2 linked regions of the Nothobranchius furzeri genome follow. The main gene of each other region encodes a partner of the protein of the gene in region 2 in a complex. Links are inferred from orthologs where the notes say so. Each region holds a gene or a part of one and is shown on either strand. Other genes may lie near its edges. The genes, in order: eif3f and eif3d.

Evidence for each region.
Region 1: eif3d (region 2) and eif3f share a complex: the UniProt entries of both Homo sapiens proteins name them as parts of the eukaryotic translation initiation factor 3 (eIF-3) complex. The link is inferred for Nothobranchius furzeri from reciprocal best matches to the Homo sapiens genes EIF3D and EIF3F.

Annotation. Positions count from the first base shown.
Region 1 is NC_091751.1:40,239,579-40,244,163, reverse strand, and holds the start of eif3f (eukaryotic translation initiation factor 3 subunit F), read right to left. Parts: upstream 2,911-4,585; 5' UTR 2,865-2,910; coding exon 2,753-2,864; intron 2,539-2,752; coding exon 2,468-2,538; intron 1-2,467. UniProt on the Homo sapiens protein: Component of the eukaryotic translation initiation factor 3 (eIF-3) complex, which is required for several steps in the initiation of protein synthesis.
Region 2 is NC_091745.1:29,238,856-29,243,423, reverse strand, and holds the start of eif3d (eukaryotic translation initiation factor 3 subunit D), read right to left. Parts: upstream 3,035-4,568; 5' UTR 2,892-3,034; intron 1,710-2,891; 5' UTR 1,707-1,709; coding exon 1,584-1,706; intron 1,502-1,583; coding exon 1,456-1,501; intron 1,371-1,455; coding exon 1,234-1,370; intron 1,145-1,233; coding exon 1,059-1,144; intron 981-1,058; coding exon 908-980; intron 239-907; coding exon 117-238; intron 37-116; coding exon 1-36. UniProt on the Homo sapiens protein: mRNA cap-binding component of the eukaryotic translation initiation factor 3 (eIF-3) complex, a complex required for several steps in the initiation of protein synthesis of a specialized repertoire of mRNAs.

The sequences.
Region 1 (4,585 bases), on a different chromosome or scaffold from region 2:
GTGTCTGCAGTTCACTGCTCCCCCAGGGGATGGGTCAAATGCGGAGAACAAATTTCGCACACACACCTGTGTGTGTGACAACTAATGGGACTTTAACTTTAAGAACACCTGTCCCTCTCCAGCTCAGCTGTGTGACTGCACTAACCTGTCCTGTGGGACCCTCACCATGTAACCCTCATGTCCATGCCGTCTCTGGAGGAGCAGATCATACAAGATCTCCCGTAACTTAAAATGAACCAAAGCCTCCTCCCAGTTTCTCTTTAAGCTGAATTTAACATCAGTTTATCATCATTAAACAAAAGAATAAAGTGGAACAATAACTTCTATCTTCTATTTCTCTCTCCTTTTAACTTCTCCGTGTCCCTAAATAAAAGAGACAGATGATCACGCTGCAGCCGCCGTCACTCACCCCGCTCCCTCCCCAAGGCCAGATCTCTCGACATCACAACACTGACTGAGCGCTTCGAAGAGAAATAATAATGAAATTATGAAAATAATAATGCGTGTTTGGAGGAGTGTCCTCCGACCCCCTCATCTCAGTCGCCGATTGAGCGAGCAGAGTGCGCCGTGCGACAACCCGCTCAATTAACATAATTCACGGCCCAAATCCAACAGAACCAATTGGGCTGATTCGGTTCGGTCTCAGGTTACAACTCCAGCACTCAGCCCTGCAGTACCACATAAAGGCGGACCAAAGTTTCCTACCCGGTAAATGTGGAGAACACCCACTTTGACAGATTTGGATGCTGGTGCCGCCGTTAAAATAACAAAACCACATTCCACTATAATTGATTAAGGTACTCTTCTATGACGCAGAAATAGTTTATGCCCGCATCTCATGCATTGATTATGAGTATTTTCCTCAGCTCTATCTATGCTACACCTCCCGGTCGGCCATCGCGGGTGGGGGTTTGGGGGCCACAAAGAGAGGGCTCGCCGGCCGGACGTGGCCCGCGGGCCGCCATTTGCGGACCACTGATCTACACACATGGTGATATTACCTCCTTATCTGGATCACCTACGTATGTAAACATCCCACCAGTTAACTAAATATATTCTAATGTTACTTTTATATCAGATACACTAGCCCACATCAAAACAATAAAATATGCAGTAACATTTATGCATATTTATTACTAGATGGCTGTATATCACTTTATACCAAAATGGGCAACATTTATTCTGAAGAATTTTTCCCACAACCTTGAATGTGTGTAAATTGACAGAAAATACTTTAATGTTTTTATGCATTCATTGAGAAGATAAGGTGTTTTTCACCGTTCTTAAAACAGTTGAAATAAAGATTATTCTCAAAACTAAAAACTTATGTACACTTGACATTTCATGGGAATAATGCAAATACTCATACAGATAAAGATCATTCTTTCAGCATTTCCAGAAGTTTGAAAAACACCTTGTGTCACTTAGTTATTACAGTAATTTCTACTAAAACCTAACATTTAAACTAGGTAATTTGTTTATGTTTATGTATTTAGCAGACACTTTTGTCCAAAGCGACTTACAAGTTATAATCGGCATGTTGCCCTTGAGGCTAACAACAACAAACAATTTTCAGTCAGTCGTAGGTGGCAGTGAGGCTGCATGATGAATCACGGAGAGGAGGGAACACGGAGTGGACAGGAGAGAGGAGGACGGGTGCAGGGAAGGTGCTAGTTTAGAAGATGCTCTCTGAAGAGCAGGGTCTTCAGGAGTTTCTTGAAAGTTGAAAAAGAAGCCCGTTCTTGTAGTGCTTGGTAGGCGAGTGTGCTCTTTTTGGCTGATTGAAGACCAGATGTGCCGTTGCGTTCTAGACCATTTGAAGAGGTCTCACAGTACAGACTGGAAGACCAGTTAGAAGGGCATTGCAGTAATCGAGGTGGGAGATGACAGTAGATTGCACCAGGAGCTGGGTGGCATGTTGTGTTAGGTATGGTCTGATCTTTCTTATGTTATACAGCGCCAAGCGGCATGAACGAGCAACAGAGGTAACATGATCTTTAAAGGTCAGGTGTTCATCAATCTCAACACCCAGATTTCGAACTGCCTTTGAAGGAGCCAGAGATAGGAAGTCATTTTGGATTGAGATATTGTGCTGTATGGATGGTTTTGCTGGGATGACAAGTAGTTCAGTTTTAGAGAGGTTCAGTTGGAGATGGTGGGATTACATTATTATGCACTGCTACTACTTGCCCACTTAATCAGCTTCAAGTAAAAATATAAATCTTTAACCATTTTAATTTTGGCTGTCAAGTTATTTTACCGAATATGAGCTGTAAACGATAAACAATGAATGTGGTAGTATCAACAATCCATTATTTGGCTCAACTCCTGTAACACACTTCCGTTTTTCTGTTACAATCCCAGTGATCGATGCAAACTGCCAGCTAGCAGCAGAAATACAGGGTCCCAATGCAGCCTGTGACAATCAAGACTAGAATACAATGAATTCGTGCTTTTTGTAGCTCACCTCATCTTCGGACTCGTTGTGAGGGACAGAGAAGCAGTTGGTCACCTCAATAGAGTGCTTGTCAATAGTACCTAGAACACACCAGATAGAAATGAGTGTCTCGTTGGGTTTCCTGGTGAATCAGCATTTACGTTCAGCTCCAGCGGTTACCAGATGCGGTTTGATTCAACACTGAACCGAGCCAACGTGCGCTAGCAGATTAGCTGAGGAGTTAGCTATAGCATTTTAGCTAGGAAAATTAAGTCTCCTCCCCCGGCTGGACAGATATTTCAGGTTTCTGCTTACCCAAGAGAGTTCCGATCACTCGACTTGCCCCCTCATTCCGACGCTCGTAAGAGTCAGAGATAGAAGCAAGAACGACGGGATGAATTTTCACCACTGGCCCGAACACCGACATCTTGGAGAAAGAGGACGTACCACCGTCCACAGCGACAACATACACCGCCACCTAGAGGCGGGCGGGCAAACTGCAGCTATTGAATCCTACGCTAATAAACAACTCGTCAACAGTGACGACCCAACAGGTAAACACCTGTTTCTGAAAGCAAATAGAACATACTCTTTTTGATTTTTCATGGTTTAGGGCGTAACTTGTATAGTTTTGCAACAATAAACGCACACAAAACAACAAATGCAACTGTTTATTTAATTAAAGCTAAATGTCACACATTTATGATTAAATGCAAAAACTGCAGTTGCTGTGGGGTCAGCAGGTGGGTGGAGGAAGACCGTCCCCCTTCTGTTGTAGAGATGAGATGAGCCTGAGCGAGGAAGGGTTACAGGGGCTGGACTGATGATGACAGCGTCCTCCGCCGCTCAGAGGCTGCACACCTGCCGACTCCATGAGACGCACAGATGAGATGATGGAGCTTTTCGCGCTGCCGGCTCATCCTGTTGCCACCATTTCGCACATCCTGGCACATGTTTTACAGACGCCTCTGCGCAGTCGTTGAAGTTAAAATGTGTGTTTTCTCACCGGATGACGTTTTTATTTACTGCGATTATTGAGCGATCGTTTTCGAGGCGCTTTCTTCCCCTTCTCCGGGTCGGTTTCCCGGACCGGCTCGCTGGTAGCTATAAAGAGCAGAAATGGGAGTCACCGAATCAAGGTTGCCAGCACCGGTTCGTTCATGGACCAGATGGTTGTTCATAGGATAAAACATCAGCTCGATCAATGCCAGAAGTTTCCACACTGAGCGGGTAGGTTTTTATTCATTCTCTGCTGGTTTTGGCACGAATCCGCTCTCTGGATCGTTTGGTTTCTGTTGCATTGTGGCTGACTCATTGACACTGTCAAGAGGCTATTTCTGATCCATCCATCAGGGGTGATGCGTCATCTTGATCTATCTCTCCTCCTGCATGGACGCACAACATCTAGGTCTGTGGAGGACCTGGACTCCATTTTACTGTGCAAATGATTCAGGAACACCATGCCTCACTGCATGTTTAACTCTGAGTCCTCTATGGGACTTATGTAAGAAATCTCAGCAGGCTCACAGAATAAATCCAACACATTTAACATCAAGTGCATGCTCACACACACACACACACACACACACACACACACACACACACACACACACACACACACACACACACACACACACACACACACACACACACACACACACACACACACACACACACACACAGAGCCCAAAGCTTTTTGTGAAACTAGCATAATTAAAGTGGCTCTAATGTGCAGCTGCTCTCCAGGATTAGGTTGCCTCTCAAAGGAGAGATTTATTCTGTCCTTGTGTTTCATAAAAACACACATTAACTAACAATAAATGAACAACATAATAATTTCTCTTACGCTGTATAATAAATCAAGTTTGTGCTGTGTGTTATTGCAGAAAAGACAATTTTAGTCAACAATTCCATAAACCCTAAAGGCGTGGGAAACTCATTTAAGCAACTGGTAGGAATGAGTGCCTTGCAAGCTTTACTCTGGGCAAAGAAAGCCCAGAAACGCCTGGATCAGCATGGGCAAGTCTGCCTAGAGGAGAGCTCAACATGGCAGGATTTGGGCTCATATTTCATAATATTTGGACATCTGGCCTCAGATTGGATGACAGAACTGTGACTCTACCTCTGACTTTGTTTGCTCTGAGACAT
Region 2 (4,568 bases):
GCTTTATCGTAGTACTCCAACGCACCACAGCACTCGCTGCAGGAGGACCAGAACTTTACAGATGTACAGATTCAACCCAAACACAAACCAGACCAGACCAGACAAGCTTCACCTACATGTCAACAGGGTCAGAAACCTCCATGTATCGCATCTTCATCAGTCTGGGGAAGTCCATCTCCTCCTTCACCTCCCAGTCACTCCTCACCTCCACAGAGGAGTCTCTGGGCTTCAGCTGGGCCTGAGAAGCAGCACAAACACACAAATTCACCAAAGACCATCACAACGGCTTCAAACAGACCCAAATACTTCAGAATCATTCATCTGTGATCATGAATCCTCAGACTGAAGCAGAAAATAGAGGTCAACCTCTACTGGTTTCTCTATTGCCGACGCACACAGCTAAAGTCGACGCCGACACGTAGGAGATAGCCGATGTGACTTTTACGGCCAAATCCAGATGTTTTTCCACTTCTTGGTCATGCTAAAATGTCACTAACAACATCAGTTAATGCACTAAATTTCTGAAGTTGAATCGGTTTTTGAACCAACTTCTAAATTTTAACGTTGTGCACTCCGTTAAAATTAGACACATAAATAAAGTTTATTTAGAGTATTTAACAATGAACATAAAAATACATTTAAATTAAATTCTGCTACAGCACCTGGCTGCCCAAGGATGTGCCCGACTTTAAATCGGTTTTCCTAAGGACAAATATCACTCTGCCCGATGCACCCACAGAGTACGACTTACAAGGTATCCCTTCCTACTAGAGACCACTGCAGATGCACCGACTAAACAATGAACCGCACCTTTAAAAATAAACCAAGAATGTGTTTTTTTATTGGTGAATATGATTTGATTTCTGCTGCTCTAAAAGGGAAACAATAGAAATTAAATAATCGACACCTGAGATTTTTGATCCCACTTCTGACGGACACCAAACTGCTTCTGGAACTTCTTCTGCAGACGCAAACGATCTCTGAAAAGGCGAAAGAGTGAGGTAAAGCTCATTGTTCAGCTTGGATCTTTCCAGTGGAGCTCAGAGTAATGATCTCACCTCTCCTTCTGCTTGGCACTCTTAGGAAGTGTCTGCATGTTGAACTGAGTCAAGTTCCTACGGTCCTTGTCCCTGCGAAGGTTCCTCTGTGGAAACAAAGCCACGTCTGTTGCTGACCTACATGAAGCTCAATAGTCTCATCAGGACTAAACTGTTTTGCAACAATATGCTCTACCTGAGCAAACCGCATGCGGTTCCTCTGGTACGCCGTCTTCTGGGTCTTAGCAGTGTCCACAAGCTGGAAGCTGGTCTCATCTTCCTCATGGAAGTAGGCATACTGACTCCCACCTCCAAACTGAGAGGAATATTTATCTGAAAAGCAAAAAAGACAAAAATAATTCAAATGTTTAACATTAAAACATATACGTAGATAAAGAATTTAAACCATCTCACTCACTCGTGTATCTCTTGTCTTGGTAAGTAGCTCCAGTCCAGTCAGCAACCTGTCAGACCAAACACAGTAAGAATCAAACACAACCTGCTTCTGGTTCTGGTTCTGCTAGAGGAGCTCCGGTGAGGGCAGACCTTTCCCAGTCTGTCTCCTTTGCTGAAAGGCTGGTAGGGCATATCTTTGAACTTCTCCGGGACTGCACACGGACCCCATCCAGACGGGTTGTCCTGGATCACGGGGGCGTGAAACTTTGCCATGACCTGAGATCGAAGCAGAACACAGACCGGACTTCAGCGATGCTGCGTTTTGATTCTGGTTAAAGCACAGCGGAGCGTCAACGGGTCTCAGCAACAGCAGCTCTGATCTCTCCAGCAGTGCTCTCAAACACATGGGCACTGATCAGATTGCGCAGTGGGCTAATCATCACCAACCCAGTCATTAACACAGATCGTTCAACTGGTAAACATTTTACAGAAAATAGAGAAAGCCATAAAAAGGAAAAGCTGACATCACTGGTTTAAAACACTGTCTGCTGATTTCTGAAATGGTCCAAGAACAGCCAACTGTTGGCTTCACTTATAGAGACTCTAAAATACCACCTAGTGACCATGCAAACAAGCATTCGTCTATAAAATAAACCCAGTCAGTCATGTTAATTTATTTTTACTGGTTGAATTATTCTGAGACAGGCGTAACAGACACATTTCTAATATATTTACCATACCACTTTAGTTTTAGAGCGCTTTTAACGCAGCATTATAACCGACCACAGCGCTGCACCAACACAGGCAGAGACAGTCACATAGGTCATAAAAACAATGAAAATGAACAACCAAGGAAAGCCAAACCAAAAATGTGGAACCACAGGACACCAGTCCACGGATTTAGAATAGAAAACCCGAAGTGGAAAGGAGGATGGCAATGTAGTCCTTATGGTTTGAGTTAAACGCCCAATTGTATTTCCAGGTGGTCGGAGACCTAGTTATTCATTTACACTTAATTATTATCAGTATTAAAAAGGGGCAATAAAGCATAAATTGATGTGATAAAGTAAAAAAAGTAAACTGCTTTAAATCTTTATTTCTTAAACGGTGTTCTTCAGGTCTTGGGCTGAATAGTATTGTACAGATTTAACTATTGTTTATGCGTTGCAGCCAAATGCGTTTTACTCCAAACGTGCATGAATCCGTGTTCAGTAGTGAGAAATAAAATCTCTTCCACTTAATTTAATGTCAAAGTTACGGGTGTTCTTTGTAAATATTTTATCTGATGACGGCCTTAGCTAGGGCGGCTCATCCTGTCGGGTGGGCCCGCTAACAAAGCTAAGCTAAGCTAACTAGCCGGCTTTTTGCAAACTGTCATTTTTCTCTGAGAGATGTTTCCCAGCGCCAACAAGCGCTGATACTCCTCTCTCATCTGAGCAAACTTTGGTGGAAACTTACCGAGAATAATGTGACTCTTTATCGAGTCTTTACACCCAGATGGTTTTACACCGATGTAAAACCCGACGGAATGCCGGCGTGAGAGGAAGTGACGCACCGTAAAAAGAGCGGAAAGAGGCTTCTGCCGTATTTCTAGCGCAACTGTCGTAATTTCAAGCGTTAATATCGCAGACATATCCTCATGATGTGTCTATGTCTATGGTTTATACACATATCTATGGTTTATCACATCAATTTCTGCTTTATTGCCCTTTAAAACTACCGAACACAAATTTAGTCATGTTTATCAAAACCGTTTGTACATTTTGTCTCTATAACTTGCAAAGACGTGTTTGGTCGGTTTCACTGATATATATGTTTGCGGTTCACTAGGCTAGAAGTGAGGTCTACTAGGGTGCAACTACGTACTTTCGGAGAGGTATGCAGACACACACACACACACACACACACACACACACACACACACACACACACACACACACACACACACACACACACACACACACACACACAGCCTTTCCAGTTGTGCACCAAAGTGCAGACATGACCAAAAATCAGATGTTTTCTAGCAATTTCTTTCAAGAACAATAAGAACAAAAATACCTTTTTCAGTCCCTGAGTGGGGAAACTGCATTATTGCAACAGTTTAAGGAGGATAGCAGCAGTAGCACATCTATATACAAGAGCATATTTGTAAATTAAGATAGCCAAGGTAATTATTGCACATAATAACAACAGTAATAGCAATATTGCACATGTTGGTGATGATATTTGTAGTGGAATGTTACAGATGTATGGGTTCCATGTTAGCAATGACCATTATAGAGTCTAACAGTGGCCGGAAGGAAAGACCTGCAGCATCTCTCCTTCACACTGCGAGGATGGATCAGTCTGTCACTGAAGCTGCTACCATGGCCCCATTCATTTTGTTCTTAACACGGATCAGTCGTCCTGTCCCCTTAGCAGAAAAACAGCCCCAAAGCATGATGTTCCCACCCCCATGCTTCACAGTAGGTATGGTGTTCTTGGGATGCAACTCAGTATTCTTCTTCCTCCAAACACGACGAGTTGAGTTTATACCAAAAAGTTCTACTTTGGTTTCATCTGACCACATGACATTCTCCCAATCCTCTGCTGTATCATCCATGTGCTCTCTGGCAAACTTCAGACGGGCCTGAACATGCACTGGCTTCAGCAGCGGAACACGGCTGGCACTGCAGGATTCGATTCCCTGCCGTTGTAGTGTGTTACTGATGGTGACCTTTGTTACTGTGGTCCCAGCTCTCTGCAGGTCATTCACCAGGTCCCCCCGTGCAGGGACGAAATTTTGATTTCAGAAGTGGGGGGGACACAGCAGGCTTGTGCGGATTTGGGGTGGGGGGTGTTATGTAAAGACCCCTTGACACGTCATGTGCCCATCTCAATAATTTTTCCATCCTCATATATATATATATATATATATATATATATATATATATATATATATCCCTTACCTCACATTAGAGCATTTTTTTGTGCTGACACGTGTATTTTTGTGAATAACTTTGGCTATGTTAATGCAATTTATCTAATTTTTATGGAGGATGTGTATTTTGGAAGGAATTACAAAAAAGTTTGAAAAAATATTCAATCTACTTTATTAAAACGTGGAAATCATTTTGTACAGTTAAGCACATT